2 linked regions of the Astyanax mexicanus genome follow. The protein of the gene in region 1 interacts with the protein of each later gene in a biochemical or structural test. Links are inferred from orthologs where the notes say so. Each region holds a gene or a part of one and is shown in the gene's direction. Other genes may lie near its edges.

Evidence for each region. The genes of interacting proteins can lie anywhere in the genome.
Region 2: the proteins of dcaf11 (region 1) and histone RNA hairpin-binding protein form a complex in vitro, tested with the Homo sapiens proteins (2 studies listed by BioGRID, with this or other methods). The link is inferred for Astyanax mexicanus from reciprocal best matches to the Homo sapiens genes DCAF11 and SLBP.

What each region holds. Positions count from the first base shown.
Region 1 is NC_064408.1:89,574,476-89,578,232, reverse strand, and holds the start of dcaf11 (DDB1- and CUL4-associated factor 11), read left to right. Parts: upstream 1-1,031; 5' UTR 1,032-1,224; intron 1,225-2,078; 5' UTR 2,079-2,089; coding exon 2,090-2,277; intron 2,278-3,355; coding exon 3,356-3,483; intron 3,484-3,634; coding exon 3,635-3,753; intron 3,754-3,757. UniProt on the Homo sapiens protein: May function as a substrate receptor for CUL4-DDB1 E3 ubiquitin-protein ligase complex.
Region 2 is NC_064417.1:317,482-321,238, reverse strand, and holds the start of histone RNA hairpin-binding protein, read left to right. Parts: upstream 1-1,438; 5' UTR 1,439-1,538; coding exon 1,539-1,594; intron 1,595-2,819; coding exon 2,820-2,951; intron 2,952-3,146; coding exon 3,147-3,251; intron 3,252-3,385; coding exon 3,386-3,448; intron 3,449-3,546; coding exon 3,547-3,687; intron 3,688-3,757. UniProt on the Homo sapiens protein: RNA-binding protein involved in the histone pre-mRNA processing.

The sequences.
Region 1 (3,757 bases):
CTAAGCCACCACTGGGTTAATTTTTTACCCAGTTTTACACATATTATTGAATCTGTGTTCTGTAAAGAAAACAGAAGGACAAATCTATGAAATAAACGTTTATACAAATTAATATAGTAAAAAAAAAAAAACTAAAACCTTTTTGCTAAAATCTGCATCAAAAGTTTGGGCAAAATGTCTATAAATAACAATACCCACATATAACATTACTCACATTGCTTTAATGTTTATGCCAGATTATGTTTCTTTCTCTTTACAGTATTAAAATATCAGAAAAGGTTATGTAAAAATTTGTCAGTGCTCACAGCTTTTAAATATTTTTTTAGCTAGCACATTTTCTGTAAATATGTATATTTTGTCAAGACTATTTATATCATGATTAAAAATCTAAATTAGTTGCATATGTATTTTTATCTATATTTGTCATTATTCTCTTTAAATGTGTGTTTTTATATCAAGAGCTTTAGATTTATTATTTTAATTTTATCTCTATATTTATGTATATATCAGTGTATATTTGTTAATATTGTGTGTATTAGTGTATTTTTTCTGTTAATATACTCTGTGAATCTGTATATTTTACTGTATATAATTTTGTTAATATTTTCTGTAAATCTGTATGTTTTAGTGTACAATATTTTTGTTAATATTCTTTGTAAATCTGTATATTTTACTGTATAACATTTTTTATAATATTCTCTGTATTTGTGTATATATTAGTTTATATTATTTATGTAATATCTGGATATTTTCATGTATATTATAGTGTATATTTAAGTGTGTATTTTACTGTATATTTAGTTGTATATTTTACTGTATATTTAAGTGTATATTCTACTGTGCATGTAAGTGTATATTTTACTGTATATTTAGATGTATATTTTACTGTATATTTAAGTGTATGTTTTACTGTATATATTTTACAAGATATTGTTTTTGTTAATATATTTTCCCTGTTTTTTTTTTTTTTTCCAGTTTTGTTTTTTTAGTCTGTGGATCTCGCTCTCGGGTTCGCGACCGTGTCACGTGATCGTCGTGAACGCGCATCGCTTCATAAACAACATGGAGGGTCTGAGGCAGAGAGAGGGGCTCATAAAAGCGGATTAGAGGAGCGGGGGAGCGAGCTGTCAGCCGGGGGTCGGGTTTGTATGAGTACAGGGAGCGGTACCGCAGGTGTCCGGGAGTAACAGTGGACGCGGAGAGCTGAGAGACTGCAGAGTGACGGTAGGCCCGTTAGCACGGGGCTAACACTCACATTATAAACAGATAAAGACAGCGGCGGCGGAGGGGGGCATATAAACACTGTGTCACAGCGGTGAACAGTGAACTGGGGGCTGTAAACACAGGTCACTAGCGGGGTGTGTGACAGTGGGCTGTGAGCTGACCTGTGTCCTGTCCAGTTTAAGTCTGTGGGGAATGTTTTCGTCCTTGGTTCCTTAATCGCCGGTTTCTTATTGGATCTGTCCCTTCCACCTTAAATGGTACGGCTGCTGTGTTCTTCTGAACGCCAGAATGTAACTCCTGGGCCATTTAAGGTGGAATAGACGATTCCAATAAGAAGCCAACGTTCAGGGTCAACATATTGTATGTATGTCTGCCCATGACACTGCCTGTGTGAAATGCTGATCATAGTCTAAACCAGTCCACCCTGCTCTCATTTCTTTCTCGAACTTCAGTTAGCTATTGTGATGTGTTGGCAGATGCAGGTGGAAGAAAAGAGAGCTATAGATTATCTGTATTTGAGGATTGAATGTTTTGTTTGTGTTAAGTGTGAATACTATACTGTTTTTTACACACCAGAGGAAAAATCCTGTGAATCCTGTCACGGAAGTTATGAAAGGAACATAAAGGCCATTGGATGTGGTAGTACAGTTTAAACATAGTAGTTAATGAGCTATATACATATATAAATATCTAACCATTATAAAGCTTAGTAATTATTAAAGAAAGACACATCTGATCAGTATTGACAGGTTTTACTCCAGGTTTTAGTATCATATCATATCAGATATAGGAAACAGTATGTCTGGTATAATATGTCAATTCAAATCATTGTGTTCTGTTTCATATTTCCCCAGGTGCTCGGTCTATGGGCTCTCAGTCCAGTTCTGGGATGTCCGGTCGGGGCTCCAGCGGCAACCCAGACCAGTCAGAACCAGAATCTAACCAGAATTCCAACCAGAGAGGCCGCCGGCAGCCCGAGAGGCAGGCAGACAGAGCATCAGCGTCCGAGGAGGACGTTGATTTAGCACAAGTACTGGCGTACCTACTGAGAAGGTGAAGTGGAGACCTGTTAATATAATTTTTGTATTATTTATACTACTATGCAGTTTGGTAATAATTTCAGTACTCTTAAGTGCTTTAAATACTTCATTGAGAAACAAGCGATACAGTGTTCTATTGAAATTCACATTCATAAGGTTTACTAATTCTCCTAGTTTCTTTTCTAAGTTAAATGTTTTGGAATATTTCATAATGACTAATACCATGATTTTTTTTTCTTTTTAAAGAATTTTTTTTGCTATTGTTATTTTAAGTAAAAAAAATTTTAATGTAAATGTTAATGTTGTCAATTAAAAAAAGGATTTGGTATTCAGTATACAGTTATTTAATCAATTTGTGTCCTAGACAGTAGCTGCAACGATTAGTCGTTATAATCGACAATGTCGATTATTTAAATTTGTCGACTACAACAGAACAGATTACATTATTAATCACTAAATGTCAGTACTCTCCATGTTTAAACAACTTCTGGACATTTAAATGCCTTTTAAATCTCATGTTTTCTGTTTTTTTAGAGATGGAGAACATGGCACAAATAATCGTTGATTAATCGACTAATCGAAATAATTATCATCTGATTAGTCCACTACCAAAATAATCATTAGTTGCAGCCCTACTAGACAGTCCGTAGTAATGTAGGTGTGTAATACAAATATGCATATATATATATATATATATATATATATATATATATATATATATATATATATATATATGTGTTTGTGTGTGTGTGTGTGTGTGTGTGTGTGTGTGTGTGTGTGTGTGTGTGTGTGTAGTGACATTTTCATGCTGAAGGGGATTTTTAATATGACCTTGTTTTTATGATTAACATGCTGATGCATGTCGAGATTAAACAGAGATATTGAGATAAATAGGTCCACTTTCATTTACTGTGTTCTGCCAGAGTATAATGAGAACCACTGATATAGACTTTATAGAAATGCACTGTGGTTCACTCCGAAAGATTGTTGCTTTGTCAGTCCACCAAAGCTTGAGGAATTTAAGTCTTAAAAGCTGGTTTGTGTGTTGTGGAGGGGTTGTAATGTGTGCTGTGTGTTTGCTTGTGGTGTAGGGGCCAGGTCAGACTGGTCCATGGGAGTGGAGCAACAGGACTGCAGCTCGTCCAGTCTGTCTCAGACTCTGATGAGGACAGTGATGGAGCCTGGGAGGGACGTCTGGGACACCGTTATGATCCTCCGGGTAAATATAAACAAATTGGTTGATGTATTTAATTGGTTTCTAGAGGGAAATGTATGTGAAACAGCAGCCAAGAAATAATCACCTTCAATACTCAATCCTTATTACTCACTGCTACACCTAATTACACACACTGCATGTCTTTTTGTTTTAGTGGACTCCCATCCGGATACTCAGGAAGTGGATCGCAGTGAGATCCGAACACAGATCCTGCTGGCCACTGCCTCCTCAAATCTGAAGGGGAAACACAGCTTTACACACATGCTGAATCAGGTGA
Region 2 (3,757 bases), on another chromosome or scaffold:
TAGAAGTTTGGGATTTTTTTTCTTACTCTTACTCTAACTTTTTCTTTTCTCATGAGGTTTTTAAGTCATTTTGTATATAATGCAAATAAAAAAGGCCTAATAAATAAGGATTAAATATATTTCTCATTATTATTATAGCCACAGTCTGTGATTCTGTGAGAAGGTTTTAAACTGTGGTCTAATCTTCAAGTCATAAAAAAAAACAAAGACTTTTATTATTTGTCTAACAAAAGCACAAACAAGGGTCACATTTCCATTTCTATAAAGAGCAAATGGTTTAAACAATAGAGATCTTTGCAATGCAAAACTATTTAAATGACCTGAGCAGTTTTTAAAGGATGGCAATAAAGAGTCGGCAGCTGCTGTCAGATCAGACTGGATTTACCTGCCTAGTGTGAACAAGAAAAACGGGAGAAATATCAGGGTTCTAGATTAAATATTATAAACATATTTATAATTTCTTACTCATGAGCCTCCAAGAGTGGCCTTTAAGCTAGGTTACTATAAAGTATGTGCTTTAGGTCTTTGTAAAAACAATTTTCTAAGTAAGACTGAAGGCATAGGTTTCAATAATGACTTCAATGTTCTAATAAAAACAAAAAAGTCATTCCTAAAAAAGTTTGCAATAGATACATTTAACCAAAAAATGGTTCACAACTCCAAACAACAAAGATTAACTCACACACCAAAAAAACAATATAGCCAGGGAGGAAAAAGAACAAACAAATGCAAATTAGATTACATTTAAATATATATATATATATTTTCAGTCCCTTCTCATAATTAGTGAAACCAAACAAAACATACAAAAAACATGTAAAACAGATTCTGGTTACAAATCACAAAATGTACAGTTTGTAGTAACTTAAATCCACTAGTTATCAACCCAAAACACATTGTTGTTGTTTTTTTTCATTATTATTATTCATTTTGTATCCAAACAATAAACAATACAATCCAACAGCATGAAATATACACAATAATAGGTCAAATACACAGCAACAACAGTCCACAACAGCACATGCACTTTAAAACAAAAAAAAACTAAACAACAGAAAAAAAGAAAAGTGGGATTCAAATAAAATTAAAACGCTTCAAAATATCGATGGATTTATGACATTTTTTATTTTTATTTTGTCGAAAATTAGTCAGTAAGTGGAAATAATTATTCTTATATATATATATTTTATAATAATTAAGTCTGAGTAAACAAAAGTTTGAAAAAAAAAGTTAATTTAGTATGGTGTATATAAAAATGTCCTAAAATAATAATTAAATTTACTATATTTGTATATATTTGTTAACTATATTTGTATATCATTGTGATCAAAATAAAGGGTCATCAAAAATATTCAATATATTCACCATTATTTATGGTAGAGAAAGGAGGCGCCAAAATGGGGACTTTTATTTTGTCGGGTGTAGGCGGTGTAGTGTGGCGGGGCTGCGGGACTGTGGCGCGGTTTATCAAACCCTGAGCAACACCAGATCATCATCCAGCAGCAGCAGCAGCAGCTCCGCTTTAAACCCTTTAAATCATGTCTGACCCGCGCAGATACAGACAGGAGGAGAGCTGCGCTGCGGAGGAGAACAGGTACATGTGTTTCAGGGTTGATTAGATGTAGTTTGTGGGGATTAAAGTTCAATAAATCCGTGTTTATCTCCGCTTTACCCGGATCTGTGTGTGAGTTAGCCGGACTGGGCTAGGCTAGTTAGCTTAGCTTCATTTCTCCCGCGAGTTTCAGAAACCGCGGGATTATTATCCGGCTATCTGAGAGCTGCTGTTCGTTTTTGGAGCTGTTTTAGCAAATTTATACTTTATTTAATATTTAGGTACCAGCCTTTACACTTTTATTGATTTATTAATTTGCTGCTGATTGTGTTATTTAGTTAAGTTAGCTTGCTAAGCTATTTAACGTTAAGTGTGCCTCATTTTTTATGTTGAAGCTGTGTAACAAACTTTAAGTAACATAACCTAACACTAACTAACTAACTAGTGCAAGAGTTTTTATTTTTAGTTAACCTTGAAGAGCTTGATTTGGATTCGTTGTTATATAGATAGATAGTTATTTAACCCTGCTGAACTGCATTGTTCATTGTGCTGGAGTGTTTGTTTATTAATGGTGAGCTTGTTAATTTAACTACATTAATAAAACAGTTACAATGCTAGTTTATTAACTAGCTAACAGCTGGCTGGTTCGGTCATTAAGCTTGTGATTTGACTATATATATTTTTATATATTTTTTGTTTTGTACTAAAATAACTAACTTAGCTAGACTAACTAAATGTCATATTAAACATACTTAACTAGCTAACCTAGGCTTAGCAAATTTGCGAGCGGACAAGTTAACTGAGCGACAGCTGAACTTTATTATTAATATAATCAAGTATTATGTTAAGTGTAAATAATAGTATTTAATTCTGAATTGGCTGGAGAAAAGCTTGAGCGCTGGAGTCTCTTCTGCTTTGGCGCGAAATGGTAAAGTGCTGTTGTTCAGTTTGAGTTCTGAGTTCCAGAAAAATAAAGCTGCTAGATTAGCTGGCGTTACCTGACGACTAACACACTAAATAAATAAACAAACTAAATAATTTAACATTAAATAGAGCGTTGATGTGTTTAGAATTGTTTAAAACTTAAAGCTGGTTTAATTTGCAAATGCTTATGTGACATTTTTATAGAAAGTCTTTTAAACTTTGATTCTGAATATATTTGGTGACATATAAACTGAAAGAAGAAGTATTCTGAATGTTTTTTTCTGTTTGTTTTTGTCTGATTCAGTTCTGTTTTTAACCCCCTGTGTCTGTGTGATTCTGTCAGGAACAAAGGGTCTTCCAGATGGTCGCAGTGCCGGAAGCGTGGAGCTGATGGAGTCGTGAGAGGATCACAGAAAGAAGCTGAATTAACTAATAACACTGACAGAAAAGGCAACAGACCGCACAGACCTAACAGGTAAAGATATTTCTGTATTTTATTTATGTTTTTGTTAGAATAAAGTTATGATTCCTTTTGTGTGTGTGCGCATGTGTTTTGGTCAGGGGTGTCAAAAATTAGTACCCTGTTTTAGGCATAATTTTGAATGTCTTTCTCTGTGTTCTAAAAAGCAGTAGCAGGTTAAATAATGATGTTTTTATTCTCCACCACTAGTTTCACGACTCCAGAAAGCGAGGGACCTGTCTCGAGGATAAGGGACTGGGGAGATGAGGTGGAGTTTGATGAAATGCGCACTAATGTGCGACGTGACATGCAGCGGTCAGTTCTCTTTCTTTTTCTCTTTTCTTTTTTAATTTACTTATTTATGTGTTTTGTTACAGGCTTTAGCAGGTTTAGTTAATGTCAAGCAGATCTGTGCTTGTCTGTAAATTTAATATTTCTTGTTGTTTCAGTTACAGACGAAGGATACTGGCTGGAGAGTTTACACAAAGAGAGAGAAAAACCTCGTCTGGAAGGTTTGTTATGGCTAATATTGCTAAGATTTTCTTCTATTGTGAAATTGAAGGGGTTTAGTATTAATGCTTTTTTTTTTTTTTTTTCATTTTGTGTGCAGTTCAGACTCCAAAGATTCCAGGGACTCTCCTGCACCTGGAGAATTTGAGACAGATGAGTCTGTTTTAATGAGGAGACAAAAGCAGATCAACTATGGAAAGAACACACTCGCTTATGACAGATACATTAAAGAAGTGCCAAAGTGAGTGAAATGCTTTATTATTCTGTTGCCATTTTTATTTACACTCTAGTCTCGCCTAAAATTCCTAAAC